3 linked regions of the Tribolium castaneum genome follow. The protein of the gene in region 2 interacts with the protein of the main gene of each other region in a pairwise test. Links are inferred from orthologs where the notes say so. Each region holds a gene or a part of one and is shown on either strand. Other genes may lie near its edges.

Region 1 (10,488 bases), on a different chromosome or scaffold from region 2:
TTTCAACAGATTTGTTTAAGTAATTTTAAAAATTATTAATCAACTACCTAACCGTGTGGAAGCTAGACTTGGACTGATTCATTAATCATTATCGTATCCATTTCCTTAAAAAAAAAACATTTCGCAACAATTCCATTCTAGAAGGGCAGCATATTATTGTCATTCGTAACATCATAACATCGAATTATTCGAATGTAAACAAAAACCAAACTCTAATCACAGGTCAAACATACGATGTTGAATTTAATTCGAATTTAAATCAACATTTGTTACAACTTTTGTATACAAACAAGATGTCTCAAAATTGGCGAATTCTGAGTTCAGAGCCTTGTAGAGATTGTGGTAAAAATACACTGGTTTGAAATTCACTCTTTGAATTGCCTTTTCTTCAAGTGCAGGCTAAAAGTTTCAATGTTTATTGTTATTTATGGTGTAGATGATTGTGAAGAATAATAATGTAAAACAATTTCTCAATAAACTAGCTTTATTTTAGAGTAAAAAAAATCATAAATTTTTATAATTAGCCGTTTCATTTTAAAAAATTTTCGATTTTTTACTCCAAAATAAAGCTATTTTTTGGTGAAATTGTTTTACATTATTATTTTCCGCAATCATCTACACCATAGATTCATTAAACACTGAAATTTTTAGCCTGCGTTTGAACAAAACGCAACTTTAAAGATGTGGTTAAAATATTATTTAAGCAAGACAACAATAAATCATGCTTTATCACAGACTATTTGTCTTCAACCTTAAATAGAGTCAAAGAAATGGCTTTCGAGTGAAGGATAAGATAGAGATCTAACAAGTCAGTTTAGGCAGAAACAATTTATTACGTTAAAAATTGTTTTAAGTATCGTAAAAACATGATTTTCATATTTTTTATTGAGAAGCGCAACATAGACGTGACTTATTTTCAAAATTATTAAAAAAATTATACGTTTCGGGTAGAATAGAGTTGGTACACATTTTTTTTAATTTACCTGATTCGTAATCTGTTATTCTGACAATAAAATGGGTTTAAAATGAGTCTTTGAAGCGTTAAAGCTTTAAAGTTGCCTACTCTGTTTCAAAACTACGGAAATGTTAACGTCGCATTTTACCAAATTTTTATAAATAAGATTTCTCACGGAAACTATAAATTACATTAGCCATTAATTTTTTGAACTAAGTTTGAGAGAAAATGCGACGTTGGAAAATATTTTCTCTAGGATTTTATGACCTATCCTTCTATTCTTATTATATGGCCCTATTTTATATTTTTACTGCCCTTTTTAGCATATTTTACAGTATAATACAATCCCGTCTCTGCTTATAATGGATTTCCAATATTAAATTGCAGAAATTTAATTTCTTTGTTTGTTTCTAACCGCTTGCAAAAGCACACATAATTAGTGAATTTGGTCTTTTTTTTGGTTTGTGAGGAGAAAATAGGATTTTTTGAATGGTTTCGCTGGTTGTCTTTGTGTTCATTTTTGCTTCGTGTTTGTAAAGTGGTTTTCTTTAAATCCAGCCCAGTTAGTCACGTCTGGGGTGAAGGGTTTAACCCAGCAGGGTATCCGGGCCCAGGGCCCCGCTTCGGTGTCGTTATCTCAGGGCGGGCAATCGTATCAGCTAGTGACCCCTTTACAGAGGCCCAGGATGCAGCAAAACATCCAAAGAACACCAATAACCCTCAAGATGGCAACACAGAACTCAAGTCAGTTGACCGATTTGCAGTTAAATGTCAATAGAAAATGATCATTTTCCATTAAATTCAATTGAGTTGAAGTCCTAATAGATTAATTCAATTAATTAATGCATGCTTTTTGTTGGTAATTTTTTAAGTAAAATCTGTGATATTCATTTTGAAACTTTTGAGAGTAAATTTTCTTAGATGCAGCTACAAATGCTTCAATAACAAGTCAACTGCAAAAGCAAGCTCAATTTCAACAGTATCAACAGCTCTGTCTGAACCAACAGCAGAAGAATGTGGCGGGCGTCGCGGGAAAACTTCGAAGACGATCAAACACTTCAGATCCACAGTAATATTGTATTTTCTGTACATTGTGTTATCGAACTAGTCTCTCCTGTTTGTTTTTATTTTTATATATACGTTTTAACTTTTGCTGAGTACTTCACTAACAAATAATAAACTGCCGAGCATTAGAGTGTCGTCTTTGTGAATGCATTCAAGCCGTCAGTAAAACTCAAACATCACACTCGTTTAATTCTTAATTTATAAACCTGTAGAGTTCTTCCCACTATTTCTGTGATCAAAGCCAGTATTATTATTTATTTCGTGGTCGAGAAAATAAATAGTACTGGGAAATGGTTGTAATGTTTGGATTTTTCAAACGCTTGGGTGGTACTTTTGCAAACAGTAAAGAGATATTGTTGATCTCATCTGCTGCATTACATTGCACAATTGTCGTTCCTACATTTAGAAATAAACATGGTGCCAAAAGTGGACCTATACCAGTTTATTTTCAGTTTTCTCTAGGTAGGGACACGGCCTATTGTTTTTACTGCCGTTTTATTTAAAACAGTACAAATCGCGAGATTTTCTTGTAGCAGGCCGCAATACTGTATAATACGGTATAAGCAATTTTGTGCATTTTTGCAGTTTCGTTTAGTTGTAGTTAATTTAATCTACTGTACATATGATAGGGAAGATGTATACTTTTTGTTATTTATTTATGAGCGCGGAGAATTCATATTAATGAAATAAGATTATCACTAAGTGCATTAGCAATATTGTTGGAAGAAATGTGAGTAGATTCATTTGATGTGTACATATTTTTTCTTTTGTAAATAATTTTAGGTGTATCCACTTTATCATAATTTATGATTGTTTTTAAGTAGTTTTATTTTTATACTCAATTAATGGTTGTGTAATGTTTCATTTTCTGGTTACATTTGTTTTAATTCTTCTAAAATCGGATCATCAACAAAAAAATATTTGTAGTATTAAGATATCAGGCATAAACGAGGACAAAATGTTATACTTTATAAAACATCAACGATGTAAAATTACACATTGTTAAAATATACAAATTTTTATTAAAACCCCTATTATTTATTGTTCCTGGTATTTTTCTACTACCATTCCTGTCCTAGGCGCAAACTTTTAACTGTACATACAGTAGACTTATTTCCCTTTTGAACGAAATGTGTAAAATACTTTGTAAAAATATCTAACATCCTTAGTCTCTACATTTGTATCATATGTGATTATGTGGTGAGTTGTAGTATTTTGTAATAATGTATATTATTTGCAATGTTTCGTATTTTTTGTACATAAATTCAGACACGTGTTGAATATTTGGCAATACCAATATGTATACTCGTTAAAATGTAAAGTGTTGATTTTTCCCGATTTTTATTTTTTCAATCCTGTAACAAAGACAATAGATTTTTTTATAAATGTGTGGTGATTTAATTTTAAATTCGGTTAAATGATCACACAACCTACTGTGGAACCTGTTAAAATTTTTATTTAAATAATATAGGATATACATTTATAAAAAAAAATGTTTTTATTATAAACTTTTAAAAGCTGTTTCTATAATTTCCTCAATCACAGTTGCACGTTTTGTACTTTCTTCCACACACTTTAAAAGTTGCTCTTCCGTAAAAACACAGCCACCTGGCTTGTGAACAAAACACAACTCTTCTTCCTTCACCACAATTGTCACCAAAGACGTACTTAAGTCCTCCTCATCCACTGTTGGGTCTATGAGAATTTTACTACAATCAAAAAATTAAAAAGTTTACAACAACAATGATAAGCTTACTCATCAAACATTGCAAACGTTGTTGCTATTGGAGTGTTGGTAACACTAAGAGCTTTCCTCTCTTGCACATTCACTTGCTTGTTGTCAAGGGCTGGATCGTACTGAACCGCTGGCAAAGTAACTGAAGCGCAATTATATTTTTCACAAAAAAACAATATTGTCTTTACCTGACTTAAGCGCTGCCATTAACGCAACAACACACGCGTCTATCAACGCCCCATCCAAATCCAAACAAATTAAATCAGCATATAAACACCAAGCTAATTTGTCTGGAAATATACATAACGTTTTTAAGTCTAAACAATCAGAGTTTTTTAAAATATCGGCAACTAACTGGGTCGCTACTTGGGCTTGTTCAGTTGGGGGTCCTGGCCGAAATTTTGACGAACACAACGGTGGTAATTCCACATTGGGGATCAAAAACCCCTCGTTTGCAGCCTCAGCCTTGGGCTGACACAACTCCTAAGGTTTGGTTTAGCAAATTGAATGCCTCCAATTACACTCACCGCTTTAATGCCGCAAACTACCGTCGTGCGACCAACTTTGGCAATCGCAGACCCATCGGCTGTCGAAATTGAGCCCAAATTGACCACGATGGGGCGATATTCCCCAAATTCGCGCCCATCAGGTCGGATTTTGTGGGCCAAGTGGTCGCGGAAGTACTTGACGGGGTGCAAAATCCTAAAACATAGGATAATCACCTTGTTATTTATTCACAGTACTACAATTATTACTTGTATTGTTCTGACATTATTGAATTTGTTTATAACCACGTTTTTCGTTTTTGACAATTGACATTATTAATGACGTTAGTTTTGATTGGTTGCCGACAACGGTGGGGGAAACGTTTGATTTGAAACGAGTAAATTCGGTTGAATAATGCAATTTTTGTAATGAAGACATTTGCTTGCAAATAGGGCATTTGGTTGGGAACAAGTATTGTCGATTGATTTTTGATTTAGTGCAAAATTCCGTTAAACCCTTCAAAACATGTTATCCCCACTCGTGTGACGTTGCTTAAATCTGGGCTCCCATTGGTCCCGTTTGTCATTTCAACGGTCTCTCAGCTGTTCGTTTCCCGCACTCTGCGCTCTTTGCATCTGGCCGTTAAAAACAGTCGTTTTGTCGGTTAGGGGTAGCTTGGGTGTTTAAGTTGGGGTTCAGTTTGGCCTTCGGTTCAGCAAACTTTTCGTTTTTCGGGTATTAGAAACTTGCACGTGTGTTAGAGGAATGGCATCGATAAGAATTCACCAGGACCAGGAAAACCGGGTGCCGGAATTGCGCCGAAAACCGGGAACGACTGCCCAGCAAAAACGGGGCGTTCTGGGCGAGATTGACAGTAATAAAGTTAATAACGCAGCCCTTAAAGGAAAACAGGTAATTAACAGTTGGAGGTAACTTTGGATGGGAAAAACGTTTGCTTTTTTGCCAGACGAAGAAGCCAACCGTTTTGGGAAACCGGGTGGAAAATGGGCAAAAAAACGAGAATAAGAAGAATGTCGTGGTTCCGGTGGCCCAGTTTGAGGCGTTTACTGTGTATGAGGATGATGAATACAGAGCGAGAATCGATGAAAGGCTCAAACTTATCAGTAAGAGTAATGTGTATAAAGGGACGGCCGAGGACAGGTTTATCACGAAGACAGAACTTGCCGAAATTGAAAGGAAAAAGAATTTGGAGAAATTGAAGGAAATTACTGCGCCTCAACTTAAGAGAAAATCGGAGATTCCGATGAGCATTGAGAAATCAGATGTGGAGAACATTGAGCTCAAAGAGCAAACGGTTTCCACAAATACCAATGCTAGAGATGTCTTTTTTGAAATGGAGGAGTATAGGGATAGCATTTTTGCTTATCTCAAAGAACATGAGGTAAAGTATCTTCAAGAACGACGAGAAAATTATTCCAAGTTTTTTTACATCCATTGACATTTATTCTCAATTAAAAAAAAAAAAACAGATTGAAGCCCTTTTTATTAACAACTTTGACTTTTTTTGAAATACTTTCGGGGCGGGAAATTTCATTATGGCTTTAATTTCGTATATTATATTCCATACTCTACGTTGTGATATGTTAAAAACATGAGAACACTTCAATTTACGATTTTTACCTATAACTTGAAAACTATCTTTTGTGGACTTTTCTCTAGAGCCTTTAGATGTGCCAAAAGCGTCAATTGAACCGGTTTTATAAAATCAGATTTATCAATTTTTGCGAAAATTTTGGTTGATTTCGATACCCGGAGCATTTATCGGGCAATAACTCCGGAACTGTTTTCCACGACCTTATTAAGATTGATCGTTGAAAAGCTTTTTTTATTTTCTATCTGCGACTGAAGAAATTGCTACTAAATGCAAAAATAGAAAGAAATTATTTCTGTAGATAACTTCAAAACTGTTACAAGTTTGGCCGTTTTCTCGACGTCAATCTATTCTTCGGATTATATTACATTGGAGTATCAAAGTGGTTCCATTTTTCGAATACTTTTGCTGTAATTGAGTAAATAAAAAATGAAAAATTACTGAACATTCTGTTTGATAAATCTTAATCTTATCTTTACGATGGAATAAGACTTTTTTCTGGTCTTTCAGTTTCACCGTATCCGTGTTTGAAAACTGATTTTTTTTGAGATTTAGTTCGATTTCTGGAGCATTTATCGGCCAATAATTTAGGAACTGTTAGACTTTACCCCATCAAGTTTGTTATTTTTGGAAAGCTTTTTTAACTATCACAAGCCAAAGATGTTTTTTATGTTTCCTGTATTCTGATTTCTGTAGTACCCACTGTTTTCTTTTCTACCACATTTACAAATAAAAAAAAGTTTATTATAAATTTTTAATAGTGAATTATTGAGTTAAAAATTTCAAATATTAGATGTGATACCTCTCGCGTTTAAAAAAAATCGTATGGGTGTTTTTTTTATGGATTGCTTCTGGGAGATCACATTTTATGGACCAACAGTAATGTTGTAATTAACATGTCTCTCACGAGAGGTAAAAGCGCAAAAACCGAGTGGTTTTATTTAATTTTTTGAAATAAGTAAAAATTATTGCTATGTCGTCATAGCAGTAAATTAAATTGGTAAAAACTGACAACAATATTGTAAACACTAAAAACTATGTTCGCCCGTGTTATCTATCGTTTTTTAAAATGATAATGTCATTTTTCTACCTATTTCATCTAATAGTTTCCGAGAAAATTGCTAAAGAAGCAAAATTAGGTAAAAATTATATGTTGTTAACTTGAAAACTATGAAGAATTTGACAGTTTTCTCTACAGCAAACGATTCTCCGGATTACTTTACTAAACCTATATTTTATTAGTTTTGTCGTAATTTACGATGGAATAGGATTTTTTTCGTAACTCTTTTAATTTCACCGTAACTAGCGTTTCACAATTGATTTTTTTTGGAGTTATCGCTTTGAAACCCACGCCAGTTTGTAGAGCTTTTGACGTCTGTTTCAATAGTTTCGCCTAATTGGCGCCTGAAAAAAAGGATAATTTTTTTCGTTTTTCTCGTAAACTGGTAATCGTCTGTCGGATGTGTGTAAGCAGAACTGAGACTTATTTAAAAAATATTACGTTACTCCAATAATTCGAATTCCAATGAATATGATTATAAAAAAAATCATGTCTTGCGATAACTTTTGTGCGCACTGTAAGAATAAGAATGCGTTTTAAATTATCTATGTTTTCGTAAAAACTCGAAACCGCTCCGGAAAATGGCTTCGCTTACAGAAACATTTTAAATTTTTTATTAAAAAAAATCATAATTCGAAATATAAAAAGTCCTACAGCAAAACGGTTTGATCAGATTACACTTTACGTAATATACTATTTTTCAAAAAAGGAAAATAGAGCATTTTAACTTAGAAAACCGTATTTAAACCATTTTTGCGGTCTAAACTTGAAAATTTATACGGAAACCCACTTTCTCTGTCAAAGTTCATGATTTTGAAATAAATATGATAGTGATACTAAGCATAATGCATAAACTGTGATTGGTCCTCCAAATCTCCACTAATTGTTTTCAGCTGCGACATCGGCCAAAACCCGGCTACATCGTGAAACAGCCTGACGTAACTGAAAACATGCGTGCTGTTTTGATCGATTGGCTTGTCGAAGTTACTGAAGAGTACGGTATGCAAACGGAAACCCTTTATTTGGCCGTAAATTTCATCGACCGATTTTTAAGTTACATGTCTGTAGTTAGGGCCAAATTGCAACTTGTGGGTACAGCTGCAATGTTTATTGCTTCGTAAGTCGATCGCCCAAACGCTATCCTCGTTTAATTTGCCCTTTCAGTAAATACGAGGAAATTTTTCCACCAGAAGTCAGCGAATTCGTGTACATCACTGACGACACTTACGACAAACACCAAATGATTAGAATGGAACAGTTAATTCTGAGGGTGTTGGGCTTCGATTTGTCGGTGCCCACACCACTTACTTTCCTAAACGCCATTTGCATTTCCACAAAACAAACCGAAAAAGTGAAGAATCTCGCGATGTATTTAAGCGAATCGGCGCTTCTGGAGGTCGAACCGTATTTACAGTTTTTGCCGTCAGTTGTCGCGTCGTCGGCGATAGCTCTCAGCAGACACACTTTGGGCGAAGAAGCGTGGCCTGGCGACTTGCAAAAATACACAGGATATAATTTGAAAAAATTAGAATCTTGTATTGGATTCTTGTATAAAATGTTCGCCAAAGCGCCATCTAATCCACAACACGCCATTCGGGACAAGTACAAGGCGCCAAAGTATATGCAAGTTTCTAAGATTAGTCCCAGCGGTGAGATGATTTCGTTCGATTAAAAGACTGCTCTACTTCGTAGGGAACAAAGGCCTTGCGTTTTTTTTTCTGGTCTAGTTTTTATTATTAGATTTATTAATTAGATGGTAATAATTTATAGTAAGCTGTGCTGTGGTGTCCCATTCATGTGTACTGTCGACCATCAATATTATTTTAGTTTGCATGGTTTTATTTACTGTCTTTTATGTGTTATTTTATTTGGATTTACGTATTTTGAATTTATACTCTCGTTGAAACTACCTTGTTTCCTAAACATTGTACAGTTTATTTATTTGTTATAAGTAGTTAAGAATCAAACAAACGAATTGCTGCCATTCCTTTATAACAAAATGGACGAAATTGTCAATAACAATTTTTGATATTTTTCTATACGCAATAAATTGTGGAACTACAACCGACGCGTCATTTTTAACACCATTTCCATTCCCTACTTTCCTATTGCTAATTTTCACATACCATCAGGTGAAAAGTATGGAACCAGTGTTTTGTGCTCAAGCTATTATTTATTTTCTGAAAAAACTAGTTCACGGAGTGACGCAATATAAAAATTTACTTTCTTTTTTGAGTAATATCTGCCCTTTTTTTCCACTTCCATGAAATTCATTAGGATACAAGTTTGACTTGATTTAATTAAATAATCGATCTGGTCAGCTAAAATCAGTATTATTGGTTGCATATTTATAGAATTTCAGGCAAACTTACAAGTGACTCACCCTGTATAACGAGACGGATCGTAGAAAAAGTATAATAGTGTATGCCGCTCGCATTTAATGATTTAATTAAGACACTCATATACAGCTCGTACCATCATTACGACCTAACTTAAAATAATTAACATAAAAAATTGGTGATTGATATCTTATTGAGTTTTTATTTTGGTATTTCGCAAAGAGGTAAGAATAGTTTAAACAAGAAACTGATTCTGATCACTACTGATCTGTGCTTTAAAAAAATAAGGACAGTTGGTAATAAGGTTGCATGCACAAATTGAGGCAAAAGCTGCAGTCTTGTGGAGGTTTTCTGAAGCTCTTACCATCGCTACTCGCCGCTAGGTGGCTGGATGTGGAAATTTCAGCGTTAAATTTAAAACTGTTTCAGCTAATTTTTGTGTAATCACGTTAAGCCAATCATTTAGTATTGAATGAAACAGTTACATAACTAATTAGCGCTTAATTAGTTGGTTGGACGCATTAGCAAATCGATTAAGAAACGATAAATTGGTTTATTTGTCGAGTGGAGAAGCTTAACGAATCGTTGGCGTTTTTGTGAGCTTATTGTTGAATATTACGCGGTTGTACCCAACCACAATAATTCAATCAGAAATCGATTTAAATAAATTGGCTATTTTTTCACATGTGCACCGAATAAATTTGTTTACAGGAAGGAACTGCTGAGATGCCATCCAATTCTTGTTGAATGGAAGCGAGTAATATCTGTAACATTATAACAAGCACGTTTACGCTCAAGTGAATTTAAATAATTTGAAATTAACTGTCATTAGAATTTAGCGATTTTTATTCATGATCATGTTAAGCGAACCGTAAATTACAGACTCATTCTTACGACGACTATCTAAGAACTTCATTCATAAATTCTCGTAATCAAACGCTTTGAAAAATCGCGGACCATTGATAAAAATGTTTGCTTGGAGGAATACTGCACAAGTTGAAAATTCCAATAATAAAATAAACCTATTTATGAATAAATCACGATTCGATACTGTTCTCGAGTCACACTTTAATTAGATTTAGAGATATTTCACGCGCAATCTCCCGGTTTACCGTTCTTTTCGCTGACATGGTTGCTCGTCGATATTTCATTTTATATTCGAAAGGAAACTTAATTGTTATTATGACAGTCTACTGGCGGACAATAAATCAGGTTCGGCACTAAAAGTTTGATCAA
Region 2 (11,731 bases):
ACAGCGCATTTGAATTTTTCGGGGTGAAAAATAAATTACAAATTGAGTTTCTGGAAAAGAAAAAAATTCTGTGTTAAACAAAATCCCAGCGACACGTTTGAGCTAAGAAATTCCACCAAAAACTCAGAATTTGTGCTCCATTTCACTCAAAAAAATTCAAATGCGCTGTTGCAAAATTCTACTATGAACTGAAATGGGATATAAGCATTTTATCATTAAAAACACACATTAATGAATTGCATGAAAAAATATTGCAACGTAGTTCTAGCGACGAGAGAGTAATTTCATACTTCATTTCTAAATTCGATGGAATGATTATTTACTCGTTTTGTTGCAGGAAGGGCCAGATGTGCAGCCGCTGCCTCCGCAACATCGACCGCGGCAGCGACGTGGCCGAGGACGACGATTCCAGCATCCTGGACAACCTCATGAACTCGCCCCAACACCACCGCTCTTCCTTCTCGTTGGATGTACAGGTGAGGCCTGAAATAGTTAGGGCGCTCGGCTTTCTCTCCCTGTCGCAATGCTTTCTCTAGTCGGTGTTGGTTGTGACTGAGTGTTTATAATTTTTGAATAAAGCAAATGTTATGAATGCTCTCCATCTTATTTCTTTCCGTTTATGAATGGTGCATGTTTTAGTTGCTGTGTTTGTTTCACAGGGCGAAAACGAATTGAAGGATATACTCCGTAGGGAGATGTCCGTTGTATGGATTTCGCCTACTGCAACAATTTTATCCTTACTTATTGACTTTTGCGTCTATATTCGAGACTTTTATTTGATTCCGTTCCTCTGCAAACCGTTCAAAATCCCCTTTATCCTCATACACTATTGTCTCAGACACAATAAGATACACTGAAGGTATGTACGGTTATTTTTTATCAGTTCGTCGTTGAGGTTCATCCGGTGACAGTCTCTCTTCCAACCACTCACACTCTCATTGGTGTTTTATTCAAATCCATAACTACTGTACTACTTCGTCTCTAATTTCATTATAGTCTTCCGCCTGTTCTTCCCCAAATTTTGACAGTATTATAACTGAACTTCCAGTTCGGTCGCGTTTCCGGTGCCATTTCCGCCCAAAATCAAACGACAAATAGACTATAATGAAAGCAGCCATAGTCGGCATGTACTTAACTAGCTTTGTAAAGCCCAAGTAACTGTAAGTTTGAAGCAATAAATTTTATCGTATGTTGCTTGAGTGTTTTAATTCACACTTCTCCTTCCTGCATGTGCACAACAATGCCACTTGTGACCCTCCTTATGCTTCTAGGAGCACGTGCGGACTCCTTCCGACAAAGAAACCGGCAATTTGTACAAAGACTTGGTCGAGAAATACGAAGCTCTCCTCGAAGTCCACCGCCAGCCCCACCGCCAATCCAAGCGAAACAACGGCGTTTCGCTGCAGGAGGAGCTCCAAATGTCGGGCGACTTCAGCGTGGCCACCACGAAGGACACGGACGAGGAGAGCGGTCTCGACAGCCTCAAGCAAGTCCATCCCAAAGCCAGGATGACGATTTCGCACACGCCCACCGACTTCTCCGAAGCCGAGACCAGCAGTTCGGGTTTCTCCGACGAAACGAGCAACAAATACACCCAAACGGAGGACCGCCCAGGTGCCTTCCTGTGCACGATCGCCGATGGTGAAGACAGGTTTAGCATCTACAACGACGCTAGCCCCATCTCCAGCCGGTTTAAGAACCAGCCGGAGTACCAGGACCTCTTCAAGGAGATCTTCACAGTCCTGAAGAAAACTGCCGACACCAAAACCGAAATCCCCAAAATCGAGGATAAAACTCCCCCGCGAGCGCTTCCAGAGGACGAGTCGCAAATCACGGAACTCGACGACGACTCGCAAAGCGTCGTTTCGTCGACCATGTCCGAACTGTCGATGTCGCAGAACGAGCCAACTACGATCATCGAGAACATCATCCAGGCGCAGAATCAGCCGATCCCCGACGCCGAAGTCCAAGAGAAGCCCGAGCGGGTGCTGAAGCCGCTGGTGCGTCAGCCTTTAGAGTACCTGTCGGTGGAAGTCCGAAAGCGGTCGTCGAGCCGTCGCAAGAACAAGTTCGCCGAAAGGTCCGACTCGCCGGTTACTCATATTATCGGAAGTCCGAAAATCAGTTATTCGAGTCGGCCTTCGTCGGGACGCAAGCGACGTGATTTTAAAAATGTGCCAGAGAATGACGCCACTTGGAACGGCAATACTATTCAGTTCTGGTCGTCCAATCGCAACATTGCCTCGCCGACGCCGAGCCAAGGCAGCGGAAAGTTCGAGTTTCGGCCGAGTTTGGCCTCGCAGGAGTTGCACAAGTTGAAAAAATTGGATCTGTCGTATGCGGAAGTCGTTAGGAAGGCTGATAGTAAGAAACAAGTCGCCAGGCAAAGGAGGAAATAATTGGATCGATGTGTATATTGGTTTTGCTTATGCTATTATTTGTAAATATTCATTTATGTATGTCATGTAACTTTTTAATTTTGATGCGTCTGTTTCAGTATTTTACGTGTGGTTTGTCCGAGAGCAAACTTTTTGTGCCAATCATAAAATTTTAAAATTATACATATATAATCACAACAATGTATCTAGTAGCACCTAATTTAAATAACGGAAGTTTACATTCCAAGTTACTTATAGGTTTCGGAGATAGGCGTAGCTTTTTACTCATAAATAGGAACGGAATCATCTACATTTGTGATTATATTACTATATTTGAAATAAAAACCATCAATCAAGTCCTATTACTTATCATTTATTACCCATGGATAAGGAAAAAAACAAAAATTATAAATATAATTTACACATATTAAGAGAACAATAATTCTTGAATGACAATACAAAAAAAAAACACGCAAGCTATTTCCGTTGAAATAATACTTTGTGGATTGTGGATAAATCCGGTACTAACTTATTTGAATTCGACGAACCAGAAACTTCTATAGTATTTAACAATCTGAAACAGAAATCTTCATTAAGTGACAAATTTGCTTAACACAAACTGAAAGAAACAGTTAAACATAAGTTGAATATTTACCTTAGGCAACACAAAATTAAAACAGTTCCTAAAAACAACAATAATAAAAAATACAGTCAAAAAGAAATTTGTTTGAAATACATTTTAATTAACGAAAAGTGCGAAGCTAGGCTTTTTAGTAACATTACGTCCAAAGAACCTAAAACAAGGAAAAACAGTCAAAAACAAATCCATGCCCTGACAAGGACGTTTCCGAAATTTGGTAAATTTTGATAAATCTTCCCGAATTGCACATTACACTTATCAAGTTCACACATTCAGGAAAAATAGCCAAAAACAAAACGGCAAACAGCTCCAAATGCTCAGCTCAGTAATCTCATAACTCAAATGAAATCCACAACCAAAGAATATAGCAACAAATACACATTTTACAAATTTATAATAAAAAATCAAAACTTTCGGTTAAAATTCCGTTAAACAGGTGAAATTCTCCTTTACTTTTGCACTTTTCAGCAGGTGTAAAGATCAGAGTTGGTTAAAAAATCCTGAAGGACTAAAAAGGCCTACTTTTTATTTATAAACAAATTGGTTTACAGGATTCAAGATTAAAATAATTCGAATTAAGTTGGCATTTGCTTTGTACGAATTAAAATTTGACTGCAAACTGTAAAACTTCATTTTCCTAAAATTAATCAAAATTACAAAATGCCAAAAGCATTTTACTTTACATATTGCAAAATTATAAATTCTACTAGTCAACTTGTATACAACCACCTTGTAGATATTAGATTTGAAATTCCTGAATTTTGTAGATAAATTTTTAATATGCTAGTTTATGTTATTATGTTACAAATAAATTCTATTCTGAAACTATTGCGAAAAGATCAATCTGTTAATTGTTGTGAATAGAGTTGCGGAAATAGAAAAAGAATGAATTTAAACAAACTATTTATTAATAGCCAGGACTCCGAGGCTATTGTAAGGTATGCAAGACACAAGACTAATTACAAAAAAAAAAAAACGAATACTACAGCTAATGCTAATCACAAAAACTCAAAAATGCTCTCTCGCTGAGAATAAGAGTTTCCGAGAAGCGAAAACTTAAAAAGGAACATTAGCAGAACTAAAAACTAGAAAAAAGAGCGTCTAATTTTTTAGTGCTTTTTGTTTACTTATCAACGCCCAAGCAAGTGATTTTTGATATCAAACTTTCACCAAAAGCCTTGATAAAGGACATAATAGATTCTCTAAGTAGTCTAAATCAAAGTTCAAAAGCAAAGAGTAAGAATATCTCATTGCAATGCAGAAACAAGTTCAAAGGGCAGGTTCTAAATTTGTTCAACTGTTACAGCCCCTAATAAAAAAACTGTAACGTCACAAAAGAGTGAGATTAAATTGAAAATTTAGACTCAAGTGGAAATTAAATTATACCAACCATGTTTTGGAAATAATTTTCCAACTTTTCGAACTCTCATGTGTATCTTAGAGATTATTTTTGATCTTTCTTTCGAAAAATAATAGACTAACGCAAAATTACGGGTCAGCTATCGTTTTCATTGGCAAATAAATTAAAACAAATAAATAAAGTAAATAATGTTGGCTTTTAGAAATGGTAGAAAATAATAAGGTATTTTAAATTTCTGGTCGAAAAAAAATAAAAATCAGAGTTAAAACAAAAATTGGTAATTTTGCTATAAATCACTTACCCTTGACTCTCCATTTTTGTCAACGCGGGGGCTGTTGGATTATTCAAAGGTCTCTTATTAACCAAAAGACATTTCATTGGTTGCCCATCCAACTGCCTATTATGATAAGTATCCACGGCCTTCTGCGCGTCCTTTAAATTCTTATAAATCACCTCAGCGACTCCCGGACGTACCAATCTAGCGGCCAACAACTGCCCAATATCTTCAAACAATTCCTGCCAACCCCAGAAATTAAATTCTCTCCAAACCTCACAACCGACATACTTTAACATCATCCTGCGTAACCGTGGACTGCAAATTAGACACTACTATTCTATGTCCCGCCGGCACGACAACTTTGGTCTTAGGCTGTCCGAAAATCCCGTGCGTGTCTTGCTCGATGGGGCTATCAAGCCGCGAGTGAATATTCGAGATTCTCGAGGAGCCCTGCAAGGTTATCGTCTGCTTAATTGGGGCGATGGGAGCCATCGGCATTTCCTCATCGTCGACGGCGTCAAGATCGATAAACCCGTGAGGCGACCTAAGGGGCCTAAAATTACGTTACGAAACGACCAGTTAAAGGACTTGTTACTTGTTAATGGGGAAATTTTGCCACCCTTGGAAGACTTCGCCCTTGGCCCCACGGACGCGCCCCTCCAGCGACCCGATCAACTGCGACGCGGTGGTCCGCATGCCCGGCTTGGACCACTTGTACAAGGAGGGGTCGTAAGTTCGCACCAGCATTTGGTTGTAAGAGTCGATTTCGTTCAAGACGGCTGTGTGCACGGTCGGGGGCACCCGGGACGCCGCGAGGGCCCTGCGCACGACCGCCTTCTTGGGCGAGGTGACCAGGCCCAACTCTTTTTGTATCGTGGCGTTTATGCCGGTCGACGACTTGCTCTTGTTTGTCACGAGGCTGATTTTGCCGTTTTTGTCGATTTTCTGGACGATGTTTTGCCCAATCACTTTGATGTTGCCATTGGCGGTGGCGCTCCGTTTTTGGCGCAGTTTGTTGAGCTTGTTACGGGCGTCCTGGCCTTTGGCGATTTTGGCCAAAACGTCCCGGGCGTCTTTCACGGTGCTGAGCTTTCGCTGGATGAGTTTCTGGCGCGCATCTTGCACTTGTGGCTTGGTGAAGACGCGTTTTTTCACGATGTTGGCCTTTCGGGCGTTTTGTGCCTTTTTTGTTTGGAGGTTTGGTTTGTTGTTGCTGGAATTGGGGCAATCAGTGATGGGGAGTGGAGGCGTTGGGGACTCACCGGATCGGGCGTTTTGCCATTATTACAACTAACTGTGGAAAAACTCCGAATGTTTTTGCTGATTTAGCTGGATTTCACATACAAATAATACGAGAAAACGCACAATTTTCGTTTACAAATGACAAATGACAGAGACAAGATGGAGGACCGACGCTGGCGCCTTCTGGGACCGACCGCTTTTTTCAAATATAAAACTTTCAAAATTAAAAGAGTTATAAAACGTGTTTTTTTGGCTTATATGAATATTTTGGTTACAATTTAAGCTTCCCAATTTATTTTTAAAATCACAAATTTCGGAAATATAGGCCACCAAGTATACACCAAATGACGTGTAAATAACCTTGATGTTTACACAAATCAATTATTTCGTGAAGGATGACAACAATCACAAGATTTAGATAATAACAAGCTTTAAGTTTTTCGCGAGTCATTCTAAATTGTTAGTGAAGTTTACGTAATGGCTTTCATCACAGGTAGGGCTCTGCACTATGTCTTCAAAGTCCCAGACCGGAAGCAAACTGCGATATTTTATCGCGAAATTTTGGGCATGAAAGTCCTGAGACATGAGGAATTTGCGGACGGGTGTGAGGCTGTATGTAATGGGTAAGTTACCAAAGATTCCCCCCGTTAAATAATTGCTGAAACAATTTAAAAAATTGTATACAAGTTTTACTTGTGTTCCCCCCTTCCTAGAAAGTGTTCTTTACGCAAGAAACTCAAAAACGTATTTGGAAACTTGCTAACAGTAGGAATAAGTCTTTTTTAGCTTATTCTTGAAATTTCGCTCAAGACCAAACAAAATCGAGTGAACCAGGCAAAGTAAAATCAGTCTCATTTAATATTTTCGTGATTTTGAGGCGCGTTTTCAAAATGAATGAACTTCAAGTTCAAAAACGAACTAAATTGACTAAAATAGGCTAGGTACAATCAATTAATAGAGAAGTTTTTTGAGGGAGTTTATTAACTACTTACAAAAACCAAAAATTGTAGTTTATTTAGGCCTAATTTAGTTCATTTTTCGGTTTGGTAGTACGTGGTGTACTAAACTTAAACCAAAACTAACTTAAACAAAAACAGGACATAATTTTTCGACCAAATGTTGTTTTTCGCTTATTTTATGAACTATTTCGAAGAGAAAACCTAAATAGTTAATTTCTATTTAGTTAGTGATTTTTAGGTGTGTTTTGGCAAGTTCTTTTGGTAAGATGGTCTAATTCAGTGATTTCTCATTCAGTTTTAGCTAAATTTTTCGAAAAAAATTAGTTGTTACCTCAACAAGACTCGAAGAGCCTAAAATAACACCAATTTTAATATAATTGGCGACTTTTCGGTCTGCTTTTAACGAAATTTTGCGAAAAAGCTGCCTGTCTGGCTGAAATATTTGCTCAAAAAAGGGATTAATAAGAATGTTTTGTATTTAAGTTGACGAGTTTTCAATCGCTTCTAGAAAAAAACTCGGGAAAAAACTAGGATTTTCGCTCTTAATATTGCTTATTAGCTGTTTCAAAACTATTTTCTCTAAAAAATAGTCGTTATAAATTATTCATGCATTTCAAAAAGTTAATACCTAATGTAATTTATAGTTCCAATGAAAAATTAATAACTATTTTACATTTTTATCAAACTTATTTAAAAAAATAATTCGTTAAAATGCGACATTGGCATTTCTATAGTTTTGAAACAGCTGATATTTGCTCAAGAAAGGCAAAAATAACATTACTTTTAACCAAAATTTGTTGCCGTAAAAAGTTCTTTTACAATAAATGAAACTCTGGTTAAAAGTTAGTTGAATCATCTTATTTTTACCTACTTTTAGCGAAATTTTTATAAAAAAAATTGTTTTATCTCATAACGTGTTTAAAAATTTTAAAAACGCAGAGCAGACAATTTTCGGTGTAATTTTGCTTCTCACAAGAAAGTGAGAATATAACTTCAACCACGTGTGCTTGAAAATACAGAGTAAACCAAAAGTGTAACACACATATCTTTGTTTAGAAAAAAATCCTTGAACTGGGTGCTCAAAAACTGGCGCACCAACTCAATGGAGTGTGGTAGAGAACTGCTTGCATATAAAAGTAAAAATAGCAACAAATTATTTGTATTAAAGTTATTGATAAAGAAAGAATTTTAAATAAATAATATGTTATGATCGCAATAGAATTTGATCGAAAATAAAAATAAATTATTTTTGAAACGGTTTCCTAGGAAATAATTTCCAGTCTTGACACATCCACAAACCGTGATTTTTTTTATGAATTTTATTTTTTTTAGTTCAAAAAACTGCTAAACCTGATAGGAAATTTAAAAATAATTATTAATTGTTTTGTTAGGGAACGATTACTTAGTGTAAAACACAAAAACATAAAATAATGAAAACTAAAGAAGTTAAGGAAATAAATTTGTAGCTCCAGATTTTTTTAAATATGACTTTTTTCAAGATTTTCTTGTAATCTACACATAGTTCTCAACAACATACCACTGAGTCGGTGCGTCAGTTTTTAAGCAGCCTGTATTGTGTTTAATGCTACATTTTGATACATCATTTTAGTGTACACATTTTTATTTTTCTGGTAAGTATAAAAAAAATTAAAAAATAAAGCAAAACAATTCAAAAAGTGAATTAAATTAAATAAGAAAGCTGTAAAAGTTACAGAGAGTATTACACAAAGATCTTTATCTTTTCGTTCTTGCTTTATTTTATAACAACAGATGATTGTTTTTTTGTCTAGGTGTCATATTTCATACAAAAAAATTATAAAAAACAATTGCCACTTGAAAAATAAATCAGAAACAAAAAGATAAAGGCCATTATGTTTAATTGTCATAATTTTTTATTTTCTTAAATTTATTTATTTTTTTTTCTCATTGCCAGGAAGATAATGATGTGTACTGTCTGAAACAGTGAACAAAAATGTCTGTTGTCATTAAAAAAAATTAAAAATGAAGTCACGACTCAAAACGAATGGTATCACAAATAGTACTATAAAGTGAAAATGTAGCATTTAACAAAATTAAATCGACCTGTTTTAAATGACAAATAACAGAGATATGAATTTTGTGCGATACCTTTGGTTCAATGCGTATAAGCGAAAATAACATAAATTTCGGTCAAATTTGTGTTTTTCCAGCCAGTGTTAACAAAACGAATTACTACCTACTTAATCATTACAAATACTCACCGAGTAAAAGTAATCATCAACCCAACGTAATATAATTTCAGTTTTGTGGAATGTAACAATTACGAGTACCAACATCACATTATCTAAATGAGCCTCTCGTGGAAGCAATCATTTTATTGCGCCAATTATCCTTAATTACTTTATCTTCATTCCAGTCCTTACGCAAACCGGTGGAGCAAGACCATGGTCGGTTACGGTCCCGAATCGACCCATTTCGCCATGGAACTGACCTACAACTACGGCGTAAAGTCCTACGAGAAGGGCAACGACTTCCGTGGCATCACAATCCGCAGCAAAGAGGCCCTGCAGCGCGCCAAAGAGAACAACTGGCCCATCTTAGCCGGAAACATCCTGGAAGCGCCAGGCGGTTACAAATTCCACATAATCGACGAACCCCAACCCACCGATCGTGGTGCGTACTAAGCGCCCCCAAACGACTGACTTGTCTAAAATTTCCTTGCAGATCCAGTAGTGAAAGTAACTTTGTCTTGTTCCAATTTGACCAAATCCATCAACTACTGGAACGGTGTCCTGGGCTTGAAGATATTCGGGCGCACGGATAAGACCGTCCTGCTGGGCTTCAAAGAGAGCGAGGCCAAGCTGGAGCTGGAGGAGATTGGCGGCCCGGTCGAGAGAGCTAAAGCGTACGGACGTATCGCCTTTTCCTGCCTGGCGGCAGAGCAGCCGAAAATCGCCAAGAAAATCGAGGAGCACAAACATACAATTTTCAAGCCTCTGATCTCGCTGGACACGCCTGGAAAGGCCACAGTCCGGGTCATTATTTTATGCGACCCTGACGGACACGAAATCTGCTTCGTGGATGAGGAGGGGTTCAGTCAACTGTCGCAGGTTGACCCCGATGGTGATAAGCTACTCGATCGGTACATCGCAAGAGATAAATCGTAAATAACCTGGATTATTAATTCAAAGGGTGGAAAGGTGATATTATTCAACACAAAGTATTTATTCTTTCATATATTGTTACAAAAATAAAATATATAAAGTTCCAACCAACATAAAAACCAACAACCCAACTTATCACAATTTATTCTTTAAATCGGCGTTCCAATGGACGAGCTCCCGCCACCACTTCGGCCTGCTCATGGCGTGGGGCGAGCGGAAGATCGCCGATTGTAGCCTCTGGTAAACGCGGCCGTCCGAGGCCCCCAACACCGAATTCAGGATGAAATCGGGGGGCGCGATAGCGTCAATTAGAGACACTGCGTCGTCTTTAATGTCGTGGCAGAGTGTTAAGATGCCTTCGTGGATCAAATGAGTGGCTTTGGGGCCCTGGGTGTAGCCCCCTTCGTACAAAGTTGCCAAATATTTCTCCAGGGTCCACAGCCCGTACAAGGAGAATAATTTCGAGAGAACTCTTTTGTTGTCAGCGTCCGTTGCTTGGTTGATAACGACCAACATTCGTTGCAAGAAGAAGTGCTAAAATTTAGAATTTCGGTTACTGAATAGCGACCATAATATTGGCCATTATTATGTAATAAAAGCCAGTATATGCGAGTAGAATACTATGTTTTGTGCACGACTACTAAATATTTTCGAATCTGCGTACACATTGGGAATTAATTTGAGATCATATCGTATATTTACGAAAACAGTAGTTAGTATACATAATCAAGCGCGTTAAAAGTGTGGTCATTTTTTAAGAATAAAGTTAATCGACATTTCTTTTAGTTTTTATGTTATGACAAATTAGTTCAGAAAATCTTCGTAATGTGTTCGGTATGCAACTTTTATAATTTGTTATAAAAAGAAAACAATGTCACATAACCGGTTCGTTAGGAAGCTGGGAAATTGTGGCGAGTCACGTGACTTATCACAATTTGTTTTTTCATTAATTTAAAATTGTTTAAATCACCTATTACCTCAAAAAATTAAAAATTATTTGCAAAGGTCAAATGATGCAAGTAATTTATTAAAACCTCTTTTTACGATTGTCTACCTTTTCATTCAAAAATCTTGAACGTACATTAAAAAAATACAATTAAAATTTTCTGTTTTTTTGTAAAAATATACAAACAACACATTACAAAAAATAATTCTAAATTGAATGGGGTTTCAAGTTCTAGTAATGCCAAAGCAAAACTAATTTGTGGTACAAAGTTACGAAACAATTTATGTCAAGGGGGGCATCGTAGCCCCCGTTAACAAAGCTCTACAACGCTACAATTTGCACTGTTAAATGATTATATAAAAAACGACTTCATGGCAAATTTTATAAAAATTGAATAAGTATGTTTGAATATAAAAAATATAATCCGCATTTTTGGGGTAACTTTCGGAAGCTAATAATTCCACAAAAAAATCGTTTTCAGAAAAAATACAAAATACAGATCAAATTAAGTTGGGGACAAAAGGAAAAGGAGATTTTCCAGGTCAAAATAAAGCAACTTAACCCATCTCACCTTTGTACAAAGTTGCACCGTTTAAAAGTTAGAGGGCGTCAAAGCACAAACATTATTACTAATTTCTAAATAGAATAATCGAATTTGAAGAATTTTGTACAAGTAATTTGTCATCAAAACCACATGTTTTCATGATTTCTTTTGTTTTTTTGTTATACAATATCTAAGTGGTGTAATTTTTTTATTCAAAAGACCCATCATTTCTGAACAATTTT
Region 3 (9,914 bases), on a different chromosome or scaffold from region 2:
GAGGAAGAAACATACGAATTGTATGAGTGTGACAAGGACGACAAACGTCACGTGTACACACTCAACGCCTTCTATACGTTATTTTTCTCGGGAATTTTCGCAGCTCTTAACCTTGACTACGCCGCATAATAAATCACAAATATTTACCTTCATGTCTTTCGTTACTTTAAGGAAGGTGTAACTCATCCCGCCCCCTATGATCATTTCCTGGACCTTATCCAGTAGATTTTCGATGAGTTTGATTTTATCGGCAACTTTAGCCCCGCCCAAAATCGCAAGGAACGGTTTTTCGGGCTTGTCCAACGCCTTTGCGAAATATTGTAACTCCTTTTTGAGGAGGAAGCCGGCGGCGCGCTGCTCAAACCCCTCCCCCATCATGGAGGAGTGGGCGCGGTGGGCGGTCCCGAAGGCGTCATTGACGTAAACGTCGCCCAATTTGCGCAGACTTTGCCGGAAGGCGGTGACTTGGGCGGGGTCAGCTTTGATTTTCTTGCCAGAGGCGTCCACCCCTTTGCCCTCCTCCTCGACGTGGAAACGCAAGTTTTCCAATAGGATGAGTGAGCCGGGGGCGGGGTCAGCGCACGCCTTCTCGACGTCGGGGCCGACGCAGTCGGTGAGGAACGTGACGTCTCTGCGAATGAGAAATTAGGGCGGGGTTAGGGCGGGGCGTATTAACCTTTTGGGGAATTTGGGAGAATCGCCACATGAGTTAGCTGTGACGAGTCTGGAACAGATGGGTTGGGGGCGGGGGCAAGGGCGGGGTACCTCACCTGTTGAGGAGGGTTTTGAGCTCGGCGGCCACCGGCTTGAGGGTGTATTTGGGGTTGGGGCTGCCGTCAGGGCGGCCCAAGTGCGACATGAGGACGACGCTTTTGGCGTTCTTGTCAAGGGCGTATTTGATGGTGTCGAGGGCGGCGACGATGCGCTGGTTGTTGGTGATCTTGCCGTCCTTTAAGGGGACGTTGAAGTCAACCCTAAGGTTTATTGAACTAGAGGGTGCGCCGAAAATTGGGGGGTTTACCTCATAAGGACGCGTTTGTTGGCGAGTTGTAAAGCATCAATTGATAGTTTGTTTAAAGCCATTTCGGGGGCGGTACAGGGACAACCGGCACGGGCACACAAATCGAGCAAATCTTGGGGGGAATCTGCTTTTGCCATTCAATGTCAGATAGAGGTCACTAATTCCAGAGACTGTCAAACTGTGGTTGCCGGTTGATTTAATCAAACTTCGTTTTTAAATTGCCAAAAAGTGACCAAATGACACTTGTGACAATAGTGATGCGTTACCAGTGTCCAAATTATTATTATTTTTTGGCGTAAAAAACGTAATACAATTTGATTTGTTTATTGTGGTTACGGTTTTGGGACCGCTGGTATGTCCCGATTGTTTGACAAGTGTTTATTTGACTGAAGTGCAATTCGGTTGAGTGTGCACAAAACCGAAAATCGTGAGTTGCGGTGTCATTGACCTTTTGTTTGCCCAATTTTGCAAAATTGTGTTTTTCCGCATTATTTTAATCAAAAAAAGTTGCTAAATCTGATTATTAAACAAACATTGTGTCTAAACAAGTCAAAAATTTTTCATTTAATAATTATCTTTGCCCATTGTAAGTATTGCATAATGATTACATGATCCAAAACCTTTTTATACAATTATTGTTATCAAACATAGGACAGAATGTTATTAAAACATTAAATTAACACATGAATGTTATCAACGTTTGTCTTATCATTTAATTGCTTTTCAGGCTCTTGAGTCAATCGCTAAGGCCTGTTAGATTTTTAATTAGAAATTTGTGACGCATTTACCCAAAAAACAGTCAGACTGTAGTAAATTGCGGTCGCCACGACCCAAATTAAACCTTCAAACTTCGGCAATACATAACAAAATAATTACTTCAGAGATAACGGACCGCTCACACAAAAACCATTTCCATAACATGACTTTTATTCACTCTGACCTTGCGGTTAATCGGAACTCTAGAGCACAGTAAATACCGTAATCTCGCGATAATTACATAAATAAGAGACAGCGACCAGATTTTCCACAATCGTGCCAGTGATTTTCACGCAAAATGTCGCGAAAAATCGGAATTGTGGGCAGGTGAGGGTCACTAACAAAACGAAAAAAATCAAACAGAAATTCCAGCGGCCTTATCGGCCGCTCGTGGGCCATGCTGTTCGCCAATGTGGGCTACCAGGTCGTCATCTACGACATTGAGCCCAAACAGATCGAATCGGCGTTAGCCGACATCGAGCAACAGCTCAAAAACTTGGAAAAAAGCGGGCTTTTACGCGGGAAATTGAACTCAAGCCAGCAATTTGCCTGCATTAAAGGGACCAACAGTCTAACGGAGGCCGTAAAAGACGCCGTTTTGGTCCAAGAATGCGTCCCCGAAAACCTGGAACTGAAGCGAAAAGTGTGGAAAAACGTGGACGACGTCAGCGGCCCTAACACGATTTTCTCAAGCTCGACATCAACCTTCCTCCCTTCGCTATTCTCCGACCATCTCAAAAACAAGTAATTTGGCACAACAATTTCTGTAATTTAATTGCGACTTGTAGGAAAAACATCGTGGTGTCGCACCCGGTGAACCCCCCGTATTACGTGCCCTTGGTCGAGATCGTGCCAGCGCCCTGGACTGACCCCGCAGTCACCAAAAAAACGCGCGCTATTATGGAGGAAATCGGGCAAACTCCCGTCTCACTGACTAAGGAAGTCCCCGGTTTTGTTGTAAATCGCCTACAGTACGCCCTTTTGAACGAAACGTGGAACCTTGTCTCCGACGGAGTCCTCGATGTCAAAGACATCGACAAGGTCATGTCCGACGGGCTCGGCATGCGCTACGCCTTTCTGGGCCCCCTTGAAACCACTCACCTTAACGCCGAGGGCTTCGTCGACTATTGCAAGAAATATTCAAACACGATTTATTCAGTCAGCAAGGACTTTAAACCGTTGCAAAAGTGGGAGGGCCCCCTTGTGCAGGAAATCGCCAAACAGTTGGAGAATTCGGTCCCGTTGGATAAGTTACAGGAACGCAGGAATTGGCGGGACTTGGCTCTGACCAAACTGAGCCAATTGAAAAAATCAATATAGCACGTCGTATTCAAACGTTTATTTTTTGTTTTTTCTTATAAACAATTAAATTAAACAGACTCTTGGACTGGTGGTTCATATCCTTCGGGTCTGTCCACTTTAGCACCCGCTTCCCCGGGCTCACCCGACCCCCCTTTGCCCCCATCCCCGTGCAATTCCAAAAGCTTGGAAAGCTCAAAACGCGGCTTCTTCAAGACTTTCACTTTACGAATGTACACGTCATGAAGTGGGTAAATCCCCTGGCAGGCCTTTTCAATGTCTTTCGCGATCGAATCCGGAAGTAGTTTATTTACGACTTCCTTGAGGTCACTCCCGGTGATGTCCCGGGTGATGATTTCCACCATCTTCTTGCGAATGCCACGGACCTGACGGCAAACAATCGATCAACAATTGCCACAGCTTGCCCCCACTTTTTCAAGAAAATTACAATCAGACTTTGATTTTAATAGGGAACATGAATTCTCATCACGTTTGAATCAATGCGAGCTGAGTGTCTCATCACAAAACGGCGCCAATTTTAAATAATAGTTCAACCACACGAGTGATTACCTGGGTATGTTGGGCGTAACAAGTTTTACGTTGCGACAACTGGTCCTTATTGGTGAAGCCGATGCAGAAAACACGCAACAAATAACCATCGGTGGTTTTGACATCAGCTGAGGCTTCAATCAAAGTTTGCCACTTTTTGACCATTGAACGCAACTTATCGGTGGTCAAGTCCATGCCGTGGAAGTTGGTCAGGACGTTGCGACCTGAAACCGCCAAATTTGAAACACTGTAACACATCAAGCCCCCCAAAGAAGGGTAAAATTGGGTCAGACTTCAAAATTCTCAACAGTTTTAATTCAATGCGAGCTGGGTGTTCACATCATGTAAAGCCACCTGGAACAGTTTTTTAAATAATGAACGCTACGCACCTTGAACATCCTCGGCAATGAGCCTGAACTTCCTGAACGACCGCTCAGCATCATTATCATTCTGCAAGTCGGCCAAAGACACCTCAAACACGCGCCCCTTGAGCCCCTCGGACGCGATTTTCGTACCCTGCGTACGGTTCACCAGCGTCTTGCCCACCTGCCTGGTGGCAAACATCGAGGGGGCCTTAACATCGTACCAGTCTTTGCGGGTGAACGGGTCCACACTACAAAAACAACCCCACGTTATCACACTTTTTCCCACCCATCCGGCCGATTTTCGCCCGGTTTTCACCGGCGGGACGCCTAGACAGCACCGGGGCACACAATTTAGTACAAATTTTTGACTTACATCTTCTTCTTAACGCCCTTTTTGCCGCCTTTGGACAGCCCCTTATTTTTACCAACTGCCATCTTGAACCGCCACACGAGAAGAGGTTGCGGTACCACAACCACCGCGCGAAAATTACTAACAATTACCAGAGAAATGGCACGCGCATGCGCGCTAGCGCCCGGTTTTTGAGGCTATGGAGCCCCCAGACGAGGCTGATTGTTGCAATTCGGGTTGCAATCCGTGCATTTTGGACGTGTACGAGGCCCAGTTGAGGAAATACCAAAAACTAGGGCGAGAAAAAAGTGGCGCTGTCAATGCACTTAACCCCACTTCTTACACAGTTTTTGTGCTAACTGGACGGAAAAAAATCAACGAAAGTGTGTTTTTTTACACGTTTAAATACGCCGATTGTAGGGAGAGACAACCGAATTGTTTGGACTACAAGCCGGGACAGTATTTCTTGTTAAGGGGGCGGGACCCCCAAGGTGAATTCACAAGGGCCTACACCCCCATTCCGGTGCCCCAAAATGCAAGTTTGGAGTTTACGGTCCTGGTCAGGTTATACGACACGGGACGGATGTCCCAACTGTTCAAAACAATGCAAGTGGGGGGCGAAACGTCCTGGCGGGGGCCTTACGGCGAGTTTGCCCCCGATTATGCGCACAAGTTTTTGGTTTTTATCGCTCAGGGGACCGGAATAGCCCCCTTATACGCCCTAATCCGTGATATTGTTGTGCACAATGAAGAGTGTGAAAGTTTTGTTAAATTATTTTTTTGTGTCCGGAATTGTGACGATATTTTACTGAGGGACGAATTATATGAGTTGGGGTCGTTTTGGAATTTTAATTACGAGGTTTTTTGCAATAACTGTGATCAAAACGTGGCAAAGTACCACGAGACTATTCATAATAAAAAAATGTCTTTCTGTGATTTAGAAAATTACGTCCAAGGAAAGTTGGGTCAAGTTCAAGTCATGATAAGCGGGAGTGAAACATTTGGGCGGGAAATTAAAGAAATAATAGACCGGTTAGGAATTGAAAGCAGTCATGTTTACGTGTTTTAACCTAGGTTTAATACATTTATAATTAAAGAAAACGTTAAGTAAAACTTAAAGTAAGATTCTAGTTTAGTTTTTCCCTTAGTCTGCATGTCCTGCTGCTTGCCTCAGCAAGATATAGATTTTCTCCTTTATCCAGTCCTTATTATAGGGGGCGTAGGTGTTTGTCGATTTCTGGTACACCAAGCAACTCAGATCGGACAACTGAAAGCCACTTTTACGAAAAATTGCAACAATTAGCACAAATACCTGATCGACAAAATCAAACAACTGGGAAATATCGTAGGTGATTGTGGGAGTATTGGGGTTCCGGCGCTTTAAATGCTCCTCGTATATTTTACAAACACCTTCCATACACTCATTCACCGACTCGTAATCTGAGTAGGTGCGAGTCTCGGGGTTAGCCCCCGGCTGGACGAGCAAAATAGTGTGTGCCTACAACACAAAAATGTTTAAGGGGGCCCCCATAGCCAGACCTGACTCACCATAACGCAAAAAACACTCAAAATCAGGCGTTTAACGCATGAAAACAGACCGTTTTTAAGGTTAGGCTAGTGACAAGCGGTGCCAACCCAAACTAGGAAGACCACATTTGGGGCTTAATTACGCCAATGATTGACTTGTTAACTACTCAAATCGTCAGTTAGTGACAATTTTTGATTAATCATCAATTAATAATAATTTTACGTGGGTCACGTAATTATTTTTTTGTCACTGTTGCGTAACCAAAGTCCCTAACGCGTGACATAACCTCCCTTTTGATTAAAATTGATTGAAATGGGGTCGGAACACTCCACCCATTTGCACGGCGGTCACGGGGGCAGTCTAACCCACCCCCCGAAGCAGCCCCCCAACATCCGGCGCCAGCACACCATCGCGAACCCCGGCGGGGCTGAGCCCCCCGAAGGTGGGGAGAACGGCCGTCCGGGGTCGATCTCCCCCGGGCCTAGTGTTTGCAGCGACACGGACTTGCCCTACATCAGTTACACGGTCAATCGGCCGATTGGAGGTACCCCAACTATTTGAAATATTTTTGACTAGAGTGTGCCCCCTAGACTCGCCCAAGCTGACCAACAAACAGATCGTCAAACCCAAGCGTAAAATCGCGCAAAAGCAGCCGAAAAAATCGGCTCATAGTATCGTGGTGGTCAAGCCGGCCAGCGTGGGCCCCAATGTGGACAAAGACCCCGATATTGTGCGGCTTCAGAGCATTCCCATGTTCCTGCCCATAATGAGGGCCACGCTGAATCTGCCGGCGGCGCGTGACCCCGAAGTGCTGGAGCGTCTGGACCCAGCCCCCTTGCACAAACTTTGCGTGAAGTATCAGACGCATTTGACGGCTTGTGCCAACTTGATAGCCACAGAACAGAACCAGTTGACCCAGAAAGTGCGGGAGACTGACGGGGAAATCGCCAGGATTATCAACGGTTTGGGGGAAAGACAGAAACGGTTTGCAAAATATGCAGAGAAGTTGTCCAAAGTCCAGGAGCTGTCTCATCAGCTCAACCGCTGCCATATGTTGCTAAACCAGACGCTGGAATCGATGGAAACCTTGAACAATCACCTCGATATTGAGGACCGACTGGAGCCCTTCGTTTGGACAACTGGATGATAGTTTCCGAATGACAGCTGACACTTTGATCTCAACATAACCTATTATTATTATTATTGTACATTTTTCTTGTAACTGTTAATTGAATAAACGATCGATTGAGACAAGGGGCCCCGGGCCCCCATTTATTGGTCCTTGCCAAGGTCGCATGACTCAAGTCGCTGACGTCATCGCAAGATGGCCGCCACCCAAAATGGACTCATTCAGTTTTTTAATTTTTTAGCAAAAATTTGATACATTTCGGTAAATTTGCAACAGTGGGGCTATCACAGTGCCCGTGTGCGTGTTTTGGTGCGGACGCAGCCCCAGGACTTCGCCCCCCTTGGACCACACACGAGCTAAGGTCTAAAAATAAGCTAATGACTTTTTTATTTTACACTCGGCATATTTTCGAAATTTTGAGTTATTTTAGGTGCGGTGCAAATTTAGGTGAGCACTCACCGACTTGGTACTCTCGTTTCAGGTTAAATGAGCGATTGAGTGATAAGGGGGTGATAAGACAACGAAAATGCCCGTTTTATCGCCGAGACAGAGCAGTGCTTCGGCACTGACGGGCTCCTACAGGTCCACGTTCAGTTCCTCGACCATTGACAGGCCCTACTTTGGGGCCAATTACAGCCCCCGGATCACCACCTTCAGCGAGAGGTACACCACCAGGACCTACTCGGACTCGGACGGAAGGAGGATTTTTTCGAGGTTAGGCGCAGTTATGACACGGAAAACACCAAAAATGAGGAACTTTTCGTATGAGATAATTACGTGTTCACTTTTTGCCTGTCACGTAATTTGTTATCGTTTTTTCAATAATTTATTTTCCTGTTCGGGTTCAATAACCAGTTGATTATTGATCGTAATAATTATTTCCTATTTTTATAATTATTTTTAGTATTAAAATTTCGGCAAACATGCAAGGAAAGTCGAGTGTGGGTTGAAAAAAAAGTGAATATGTTCTCGATTGACCTATTAAAAAAATGTGGGAGGTGTTGAATCGTCTGTCGATTGTTTTAGACCAAGTGGTGCCAACGTAAACAATTTTTCCGTAGATGTCTAGACTGTTTCACATGAAAAGAATAAATTGGTTGAAATACCGTGCCTCCTATTAATCAAAGTAGGCTAAGTTGGTAATTTTGATTGGCACGTGTTTTTGAATCTTGCCAACTTGATTTTGGAATCACCCAATAAAAAACTAAATAAATTGAGTAAAATTACGCTTTTTTATTTTAATTACTGATAAGTCAATTTATTTTTGTGGTCAGATTTGCTTTAAGATAAGGTTTTTAGTAACGTCATAGCTAAAGTCTAAATATTTTTTTCATATAAATAAAACTGTTTTTAGGCTTTTGTTTTTTATTTTTTGTCCAAGAATTTTTATTTGATTTTTTCAAAAAAGTTTTTCGTTTTTTTCGGTCATAGTGACTTTCAAGTTATTCGGAAGATATGTCAGTTTTTAAAACTTTTATTACTGTTGCCAATTCAGTTTCAAAGTCTCAAGCCACTTCGATCGATTGCAAATTTATTGTAGATATTTCTTATTACGAAAGGGCAATATTATGCGATATTTGTTATTAAAAAAACAACAATAGCAAGATTTTTTAAAATTTTCATGGATATAAAACACTATTTGTTTGTATTTTAATAAATTAACTTTAATTTGTATGTAAATAATTCTAAACGTTTGTTTTTTTTTTGTAATTGTCTTGAACAATCAAAATATTTAAAAATAAGTTTCGGTTACTTGTAATTTTTCTCTTTTAATTTTGAGTTAAATTTATTTTGGTGTTTATATAAAAATAAAAAAGTAGTCTAAAGAACTTGTTAGTCTATAATTTTTATTTAAATTTTGAATAAAAAATTGTAACAATAAATATTTATTAACTAACCAAGGCGTAGCCGAGGCTGGCAGTTATTTCATTTATTCTTAATTTTATAATACATTTTTTTAAGTAAGTATTTATATATTTTTAAAAATTTTGTTGTCATAATACATCTTTAATTTTTTTTATCTATAAAAACAATAACAGTTAAGTGTTTTTTGCTAATTGATTGAAAGATATTTAATTTTAAACATTACAAAAATTCTTAAAAATTAATGAACTATTGATTGTTATTAATTTTTTTTACAGATGAATCTTTGAATTTGCTGGGAATTTGCTACAAAAAAATACTGATTTTTTTTCTCTTGAATTTTTCTACTCTTATTTTATATTTTTATTTTTTTATTTTAATTATAATTAAAGTTAAGGAAGCATATTATAATTTCTATAAAATTAAAAATAGAAATGAAATTAATAATTAAACGAAATTTTATGATTTTTGGTGATTTTATTATGATTTTAATAAAATTAAATTATCTTCATTTGAATTTTATTTTTTTACAATTTAATATAATATTTTTGCAGCTGCCTAACAGGTATCAATTACGAAATTTTAAATTAGAAAAAAAAACTGATGATAATTACATAAACAACTTTTGAGTCTTTTATTTGAAAAACTTCTTTGAAATTTAACAATTTACGGACAATTTATAGCTCAAAATAGTCAGGGAAATAGTTTTTTTCTTTGCCAAAACCCTGTACTTCACCGGATTTTTTGCAGGTCTGGCAGCATAACCGAAGACGGCATAACCAGCCGTTTCCGCGAAGAAGGCCGTGAATCGAGCATCGCCCGTCGCGAATCCCTCTCGCGCGATTCGGGCATAAGTTCAATTCGCGAAAATTCAATCGTTGATTTCGGCCGTCGTGACAGTTCCCTGTCCCGGGACAGCCCCCGTTTATCCTCGATCAACGTTCTCGATTCGGTCGCCGAACTTCGCAACAAATACTCACCGGCCAACTACGTTCCTGCATGTCTTCGCGAACGCAATAACGAGAACATCTCACGTTCGAAATCCATAAACGACA

What was found.
Region 1: the proteins of polymerase delta-interacting protein 3 (region 2) and exosome complex component RRP43 interact in a two-hybrid assay, tested with the Homo sapiens proteins (2 studies listed by BioGRID). The link is inferred for Tribolium castaneum from reciprocal best matches to the Homo sapiens genes POLDIP3 and EXOSC8.
Region 3: the proteins of polymerase delta-interacting protein 3 (region 2) and e(r) interact in a two-hybrid assay, tested with the Homo sapiens proteins (2 studies listed by BioGRID, with this or other methods). The link is inferred for Tribolium castaneum from reciprocal best matches to the Homo sapiens genes POLDIP3 and ERH.

What each region holds. Positions count from the first base shown.
Region 1 is NC_087402.1:7,977,805-7,988,292, reverse strand, and holds exosome complex component RRP43, read right to left. Parts: upstream 4,656-10,488; 5' UTR 4,528-4,655; coding exon 4,511-4,527; intron 4,458-4,510; coding exon 4,283-4,457; intron 4,239-4,282; coding exon 3,944-4,238; intron 3,898-3,943; coding exon 3,777-3,897; intron 3,730-3,776; coding exon 3,522-3,729; 3' UTR 3,452-3,521; downstream 1-3,451. Other genes in the region: uncharacterized protein Spt20, read left to right, coding at 1,514-1,699, 1,877-2,028; CycA (G2/mitotic-specific cyclin-A), read left to right, coding at 5,007-5,153, 5,209-5,643, 7,807-8,030, 8,078-8,585. UniProt on the Homo sapiens protein: Non-catalytic component of the RNA exosome complex which has 3'->5' exoribonuclease activity and participates in a multitude of cellular RNA processing and degradation events.
Region 2 is NC_087395.1:18,064,187-18,075,917, reverse strand, and holds polymerase delta-interacting protein 3, read right to left. Parts: upstream 6,092-11,731; 5' UTR 5,938-6,091; coding exon 5,918-5,937; intron 5,869-5,917; coding exon 5,251-5,868; intron 5,209-5,250; coding exon 4,944-5,208; intron 4,895-4,943; coding exon 4,680-4,894; intron 3,173-4,679; coding exon of another isoform or gene 3,118-3,172; exon of another isoform or gene 3,115-3,117; intron 3,062-3,114; exon of another isoform or gene 3,034-3,061; intron 2,953-3,033; coding exon 2,856-2,952; 3' UTR 2,731-2,855; downstream 1-2,730. Other genes in the region: Cen (cerebellar degeneration-related protein 2-like), read left to right, coding at 338-476, 1,272-2,399; glyoxalase domain-containing protein 4, read left to right, coding at 6,375-6,520, 9,252-9,508, 9,560-10,002; peroxisomal acyl-coenzyme A oxidase 3, read right to left, coding at 10,135-10,533. UniProt on the Homo sapiens protein: Is involved in regulation of translation. Is preferentially associated with CBC-bound spliced mRNA-protein complexes during the pioneer round of mRNA translation. Contributes to enhanced translational efficiency of spliced over nonspliced mRNAs.
Region 3 is NC_087401.1:15,471,264-15,481,177, forward strand, and holds e(r) (enhancer of rudimentary homolog), read right to left. Parts: upstream 6,029-9,914; 5' UTR 5,891-6,028; coding exon 5,888-5,890; intron 5,838-5,887; coding exon 5,652-5,837; intron 5,607-5,651; coding exon 5,484-5,606; 3' UTR 5,409-5,483; downstream 1-5,408. Other genes in the region: Pgk (phosphoglycerate kinase), read right to left, coding at 148-631, 677-724, 771-974, 1,022-1,158; uncharacterized protein LOC103315247, read left to right, coding at 1-129; Had1 (lambda-crystallin), read left to right, coding at 2,076-2,104, 2,150-2,521, 2,566-3,097; RpS3A (small ribosomal subunit protein eS1), read right to left, coding at 3,148-3,462, 3,647-3,849, 4,015-4,238, 4,364-4,425; NADH-cytochrome b5 reductase-like, read left to right, coding at 4,539-5,408; BORCS5 (BLOC-1-related complex subunit 5), read left to right, coding at 6,180-6,411, 6,458-7,014; Usp2 (ubiquitin carboxyl-terminal hydrolase 2), read left to right, coding at 7,523-7,710, 9,610-9,914. UniProt on the Homo sapiens protein: May have a role in the cell cycle.